Macaca fascicularis: one gene and its partner. The protein of the gene in region 1 purifies or fractionates together with the protein of each later gene. This does not show direct contact. Links are inferred from orthologs where the notes say so. Each region holds a gene or a part of one and is shown on either strand. Other genes may lie near its edges.

Region 1 (3,648 bases):
CTGGACATGCTGCAGCGCCCACTCGCACATGCCTGTGGGTCTAGCACTGTGAGGCCGTGGGGGCCGATGTGGGTCTGCAGCACCCTAAGCTCCACCAGTCAGCGCCAGATTCCACGCCCCCTGGGACAAGCTTTCTGGGAAGCTTCTCCAGCAGCTCCCAGCCCACGTGAGGCTCTCCTCCTTGGGCTTGACTTTCCAGGCTTTTGGCTGCTTTTTACCATCTCCCCATCAGCAGCTCATGGGGGCTGAGGGCTGTCCTCTCCCTGCCATCCATACTTCCAAGCGCAGGACACAGCACCCACCAGGCTGGGGGAGGTGTACCCCGAAACACCCGAGGTCCAGGAACGAACTGGGCTGGTGGAGCCTGTGTGCCCAATCCCCTTGCACGGCCTCACCCAGAAACTGCAGCTCTCCTGGCTCTCACCTTGCCCCAGGCTCTGGCAGGCCCTGCGGTAGCGGTCGGTCAACGGAGGCAGGTCCCACGAAGTTACCTCAGCCAACACCTGGAAGGCACCGTCATGAGTCACCTGGGGGCTCCCGGTGCCTAAGGCCCTGGCTCCCGCGGCTCACCTCATCATTGCTCTGCAGCACATCGGGGATGGGGTCCTGTGGGGCCAGCAGGGCCCCTTCTTTCCGTAGGGTGAGCCTGGGCAGCAGCCCACAGGTCTGGTAGTAGCGCTGGGCCGCCTGCTCGGCCAGCCAGGCCACAGAGTGGGTCTCACTGCTGCAGGGACAGAGGCGCTGCTGCTGCTGCCTGCGCACAGCTGGGGTGAAGCCCCAGGAACCCGCCATCCCTGCCCAGGGCCAAAAGCCCCCTCAGCCGCTTCTCCCACTCCCAGGTAGCCGGCCCCTCCTCTCCCTGCAGCCCAGCACACCACCAGCCCCTCTGCCATTCCTGGGAGCCACAGGGTCCTCCAGGAACACACCAGGGAGTCCTCGTCACCCTCCCCACCCTGATGTGCAAACATGAGCACCCTGGCATGGAGCTGCACAGGTGGGCTGCAGGGTAGGGCAGGCGACGTCTCACCTGTGTGGGACAGGGATAAGGAAAAGATGATCCTGAACTTGAACTCGAACCCGGATGGGAGGTGGCATGGCCAGACCCTGGCAGGTGAAGGCAGCAGGGCTGAGTCAGGAGCCACAGTGGGCTCCACCCCACACCTGCCTGCCCCAAGTGAGGAGAGGGCTCTGCTCCAGCTCTGCACACCCACCAAGGGCTGGCCTGCCGCAGAGCTGTCCCCACTGGGCTCTGAGACCCTGGCGGTGCTGGGGCTTCCTGGGGGTTCTGAAGACAGGCTGCTGGGCCCTGCCTTGACCGGTGCACTGCAACTCTGCACGCAGGTCAGGCGGACCTGCTTGGCTCGGGCACGGGGCCTGCTCTCCTCACTGTCCGACCCGGAGGTACTACTAGGCCTGCGGCTGTCCCCAGTGCCCTGGGGGCGGGGCCGGCGGCTGCGGGTCAGGGGCGTGTCCAGCTCCAGCCAGTCTCCAGCCAGGCACTCCTCCTCCGGGATGAGCGCTGCCTGGGGGGCAAGGGCTTTGCTCTGGCCCCGCGGTGGGTGAGGCCCCAGCCGGCTCTGAGCACTGCCCACACCCCGGATGGCTGCCTGGTAGGCTGCCCGGCTGTTGCTGGCTGCGGCTGCTTCCCTGTTGCTGGCAGGGCCAGGCGTCCGGGCTGCCACCTGTTGTGCTGTGGCCAAGCACCGAGGCCTCTTCTGGGACAGCCGCGGGGGGCCTGTGCTGTCCTCACCTTCCGAACTGCTGCTGCTGGCTGGCCCATGCCTGCTCCTCCGAGGCCTGGCCACGGCTGGTGCTGCCTGCCCTGGGGAGACCCTGGCACGGGCCTGAGAGGCCTCTGGGGGTCTAGTGCTATTAGAGGGGGGTTTTGGGCAGGGGCTCAGAGGAGGAGAGGTCTCAGGGTCAAACAGAAGGCTACTTGGGATGGTGAGGGAGTCCTGGGAGCTGTGGGGATCTGTGGAAGAGAGAATCCGTGTTGAGGCAGGGGCCCGGCACCTCCCATTCCACCTGTGAATGAGCATCTCCCGAAATCAGGGCCCGGGGACTCTCAGGGTAGGCATAGCAACCCTAGGGACGCGGGAGGCCCTGCTTGCCTTGGCCTGAGGCGGCTGCCTGGAGCAGCATTTCCATGGCCCTGGCCTTCTGCCGTGTCTCCAGGTCCAGGTCCCTGCGGTACAGCTTCACCCACTGCTGCAGCGTCTCCAGCGGGCTGAGGCCCTGTGTGGTATCAGTTGAACAGGAGCACAGCAGCCCCCATACCCTCACCTTTGCCCTCTGCCCCACCAGGCTCACCTTTCGAGTGCGGAGGGTGACGGACGCCCCCCGTTCAAGCAGCAGCTCAGCCACCTCAAAGTGGCCACAGTTGAGGGCATCATGCAGGGGGGTGATGCCTTCGCAGCCCTGGCCACCCGGGTCGTCCACTGCGGCCCCGTGATCCAGCAGGAAGCGGACAATTTCTACAGACCAGGAGATGTGAGCCCAGCTCCTGATGCCCCCCAAGGACTGACTCTTTGCCCCACGTGTCCACCGAGGTGCGCCAGGCTCCTGTCCCTTGCTCACCTAGATGCCCGTAGTTGCAGGCCTCGTGCAGAGGCGTCCAGCCACAGTAGTCCCGAGGGTTCAGGGGGTGGCCCTGTGACCAAGGACAGGAAGGAGCCTGGCCCTGTGTACGTCACAGCTTGGCCCCAGTCCCATGAGCTCTGCAGCCTGAGCTGGGCCCAGGGCCTCAGTCTTAGAGCCCAGAGCAAGTCCCGTGGCCCTGCCCTCTCTTCCTCTGGCCCAGGTGTCACCAGTGAAGGACATGCTTCCCCCTGAGACAGGTGGACCAGCCACAGCATATCCTCCAACCTCTGTGCCTGCCCGGTCCCCTTGTGGGCAGACGGTGCACCCAAATTGCAGGGGCATGAGGCAGGTGGGGTGGGAAGGTGCCCAGGTTTCAGCCCAGGGGCTAGCCCCCATCCTGGCCAGGCTGACCAACTTAGCTGCAACACAGATGCGTACCACACAGCGGGCACCCCATTTTTTTTTTTGAGAGGGAGTCTCACTCTGTTACCCAGGCTGGAGTGCAATGGTGTGGTCTTGGCTCACTGCAACCTCCTGGGTTCAAGCAATTCCCCCATCTCACCCTCCTGAGTAGCTGGGACTACAGGCGTGCATCACCACACTCAGCTAATTTTTGTATTTTTAGTATAGACAGGGTTTCACTATGTTGGCCTGGCTGGTCTCGAGCTCCTGACCTCGTGATCTGCTTACCTCGGCCTCCCAAAGTGCTGGGATTACAGGCATGAACCACTGCGCTCGGCCTGGGCACCGCATTTTTTGTGCTTTTTATTTTTGAGACGGAGTCTCGTTCACCCAGGCTGGAGTGCAGTGGCACAATCTCATCTCACTGCAACCTCCACCTCCTAGGTTCAAGCGATTCTCCTGCCTCAGCCTCCCAAGTAGCTGGGACTACAGGCACACGCCACCACATCCAGCTAATTTTAAAATTTCTTGTAGAGACAAGGTCTTGCCAGGTTGCCCAGGCTGGTCTCGAACTCCTGGGCTCATGTGATCTGCCTGCCTTGCCATCCCAAAGTGCTGGGATTACAGGCATAAGCCACTCTGCTCAGGCTCTGCTTTTTAAATTTT
Region 2 (3,319 bases), on another chromosome or scaffold:
GCTGTCTCCTGACATTGGTGAATGTGCTCTGCGGGGCCGAACTGCTCCTGATTGAGAAGCACTTAAGAGAGGGTCAGGGGAGGGGAGAAGTCAGGTCACCCTGACACGGAAGGGCTAGCTGGGCTCAACTGCAAGCCGATCTGCTGCTTAGACTTGAACAGCCTACGCCCTCTCCAGCCGCTGTCTGCACCCATGTTCCCAGATCAACCATGGTTCCAGGGAGGGAGAGTCAGAGCCTTTCTGTGAATTACGCGAAAATGGCTGACCACTCGGCCTCTGGATGGTTACATGGTTAAGGTTTAGTAAAATTTAATAAAAGCATTGCTGTTTGTGTGTTGGGATCACGATGTTAATTTCTTCCTGTGGGTCAAGGGCAGTCTGAAAAATCACTGATTATAATCTATCTGCAGGACAGCTGGTTTGCTTAAATTTTGACAAAAACCTCTTCTGGAACCTCAGTCTGGAATACTGTAGAACCAATTAAGACTGGAGTAGGAAGCTGGGAAGAAGACATGGGACAGCCCACCCACTGGACAGGTCATGAGACCACTTCTGGGGGAGAGTGGACAAAGTTGCTTCAGTCCACACAAGACAAAAGCACAAACAATCATTCTAAACCAAGTGCTTTTAATTTTCAGACCAACCAAACATTTTTAATATAAAAACATTTTAATAATATACAAACAGCAATCACAACAGCATCCACATGGCAGCAAGGGGACCAGGGCACAGAGAGGGAGAGCAGGCTGGGGAGGGATGGTTTTCAGGGTCCCAGTTGCTTCCCTGGCTTGAAATCACCCTGGTCCTAGCAGAGAGAAGATTAAGGCTGCCAGAAGCAGAGGGTCCCTGACCCCGACCCAGAGACAGACTGCGCAGGCAGGCCCTCTGACACCATCTTCCAACTAGAAAAAGCCAGATCCATTTAGGAGATAACAGGAAGGTGGCTATGATTGACAGGAAAGGCAACATGGTTCCTCAGCATCCTGCTGATCACACCTCTGGGAGCAGAGTTTTCCAGGGGCTGCTGGATTGAAGAGGACCTAAGAATCTTCCTGGGAGCAGGACAGAAATGGGATCTAAGTCTACCTACTAACCAAGATTCCTGCCTGTGACACCAGAAAGCTGGAGTGGATCTGCTCAGTGAACGGGAAGAGAAAGGAATGACAGAACCTTTGGCTCAGCAGGACCAGAGCCTTGACGGGCACTGACCAAGAAAGCCTCTAGGCAGGCCAGGGAGGTCTGTCGGAAAGCTTTGGGTCAGTGGTACTCAGGGGTGCACAGTGGCACAATGGCCTTAGGTAGAATTTATGAAGACGAAAAGAACACAAGTCAGAAAGAATTTAGAACTGAAGTACCTGCTTCTTATAGGCCTGTACAAGAAAAGCGAGATCATCCTTCTGGCCAGGACTAGAGGAGTCCCGAGGCCTGTTCTTTCCTAGGGGCTGAGTTTGACAGACCTGGATGCAGCTGATGGCCCCCAAAGTCCTCTAGATGGGCCCTGCAGGACTTGCTGGGAGGCCTGGTTGCCCCTCCTGGTGTGCTGGGACACTGGGTTCCTGCAGTTAGATGCAGTCCATGGAGTTCTCAGGGAGGAGGCCAGGGATGCAGCCAGGGAGGCCCAGGCCCTTGATAGGAGTGCAGTTGAGTGGGAGGCTGCAGCCCAGGGAGGGGTCCTGGGTCTCTATGGCCTCCAGCCTGTCTGTGTTGTTGTCCCAGTTGATGTGGAAGCGGGTCACCCGGGGGTTCGAGGCCAAGATGTTCCGCTGGAGCTGGGGCAGAAAGAGGAACGTCAACCCTTGTTGACATGCCCTCTCCTTGCTCCCATAGAGCCAGGACACCCCCAATCACCCATCTGAAGCCCAGCAAGAGCAACCCACATATGGAACTCCAGAAAACACCTGTGCACCATGATTTAGGGCTAGGACCTATCTTTTTGTTTTTTTGAGACGGAGTTTCGCTTTTTTTGCCCAGGCTGGAGTGCAATGGTGTGATCTCGTCTCACTGCAACCTCCACCTTCCGGGTTCAAGCGATTCTCCTGCCTCAGCTTCCTATGTAGCTGGAACTACAGGTGCATGGCACCATGCCTGGCTCATTTTCTTATTTTTAGTAGAGACGGGCTTTCATGTTGGCCAGGCTGGTCTCGAACTCCTGACTTCAGGTGATCCGACAGCCTCGGTCTCCTAAAGTGCTGGGATTACAAAGTGTGAGCCACTGCACCTGGCCCAGGACCTATCTTTTTTTTTTAAGGGACAGTCTCTGTTAGCCAGGCCAGAATGCAATGGCATGATCTGAGCTCACTGCAGCTTCAAACTCCTGGGCTCAAGTGATCCTCCCACCTCAGCATCCAGAGTAGAGTACTCCACCCATGTCTCACTCATTTTCTGAGGTGGGGAGGGGGTAGGGACAGGGTCTCGTTATGTTGCCCAGGCAGGCCTATCTAATCTTAATTCTCTAAGACATGCCTTTGAGAAACAAAGGCCTTTTTCTCCTATTCTAACTCAGTACTGTAAGAACTGAACATTACTTGAAAACCTTAAGAAGTAACCTTGACTCCCAATTTGAATGGCTGAACTCCCCCCCAAGTATAAAGAATGGCCTTGTGGGAAGCAGGAAGTGGAAACAGGACCCACCTGGGAGAAATCTGGCTTCATGGGTGGGTTCTCACGCAGCTCGGGGTTGAGGTACTCGTTGTTGACATAGTAGCCCACTCGGATGAACTCCTGTCCGTGGTAGGTACAGGTGATGAGGACTACGGTCACACCCACGGCATCAGTCTCTGGGATGAGGGATGGGTTGGGGGCATCAGCCTAGGGGAGACACATCCTAGGCCTTAGCAGTGCCACAGCCATGCCTCTATGTCATTAGTAGAAACAAATTCCCAAGCAACATGTATTTACTGAGCAAAAAGTATGCTCTCTGCCCTCAGTTTTCTTTTTTTCAACCTCTGCCTCTCGGGTTCAAGCAATTCTGCCTCAGTGTCCCAGGTAGCTGGGACTACAGACGCACACCACCACACCCGGCTGACTTTTTTTTTTACATGGAGTTTTGCTCTGTTGCCCAGGCTGAAGTGCAATGGTGGGATCTCAGCTCACTGCAACCTCCACCTCACAGGTTCAAGCGATTCTGCTGCCTCAGCCTCCTGAGAAGTTGAGATTACAGGCGCCTACCACCACGCCTGGCTAATTTTTGTAGTTTCAGTAGAGTTGGGGTTTCGCCATATTGGTCAGGCTGGTCTTGAACTCCTGACCTCAAGTGATCCACCCATCTTGGACTCCCAAAGTGTTGGGATTACAGGCATGAGCCACCGCCCCCAGCCTT

Evidence for each region.
Region 2: the proteins of TONSL (region 1) and ASF1B purify together in Homo sapiens (affinity purification with mass spectrometry; 5 studies listed by BioGRID and IntAct, counting the BioPlex papers as one, with this or other methods). This does not show direct contact. The link is inferred for Macaca fascicularis from reciprocal best matches to the Homo sapiens genes TONSL and ASF1B.

The regions. Positions count from the first base shown.
Region 1 is NC_088382.1:154,145,006-154,148,653, forward strand, and holds part of TONSL (tonsoku-like protein), read right to left. Parts: intron 2,651-3,648; coding exon 2,578-2,650; intron 2,475-2,577; coding exon 2,311-2,474; intron 2,236-2,310; coding exon 2,112-2,235; intron 1,973-2,111; coding exon 1,212-1,972; intron 1,105-1,211; coding exon 1,028-1,104; intron 725-1,027; coding exon 571-724; intron 504-570; coding exon 425-503; intron 1-424. UniProt on the Homo sapiens protein: Component of the MMS22L-TONSL complex, a complex that promotes homologous recombination-mediated repair of double-strand breaks (DSBs) at stalled or collapsed replication forks.
Region 2 is NC_088393.1:14,539,908-14,543,226, forward strand, and holds the end of ASF1B (histone chaperone ASF1B), read right to left. Parts: intron 2,809-3,319; coding exon 2,632-2,808; intron 1,770-2,631; coding exon 1,563-1,769; 3' UTR 611-1,562; downstream 1-610. UniProt on the Homo sapiens protein: Histone chaperone that facilitates histone deposition and histone exchange and removal during nucleosome assembly and disassembly. Cooperates with chromatin assembly factor 1 (CAF-1) to promote replication-dependent chromatin assembly.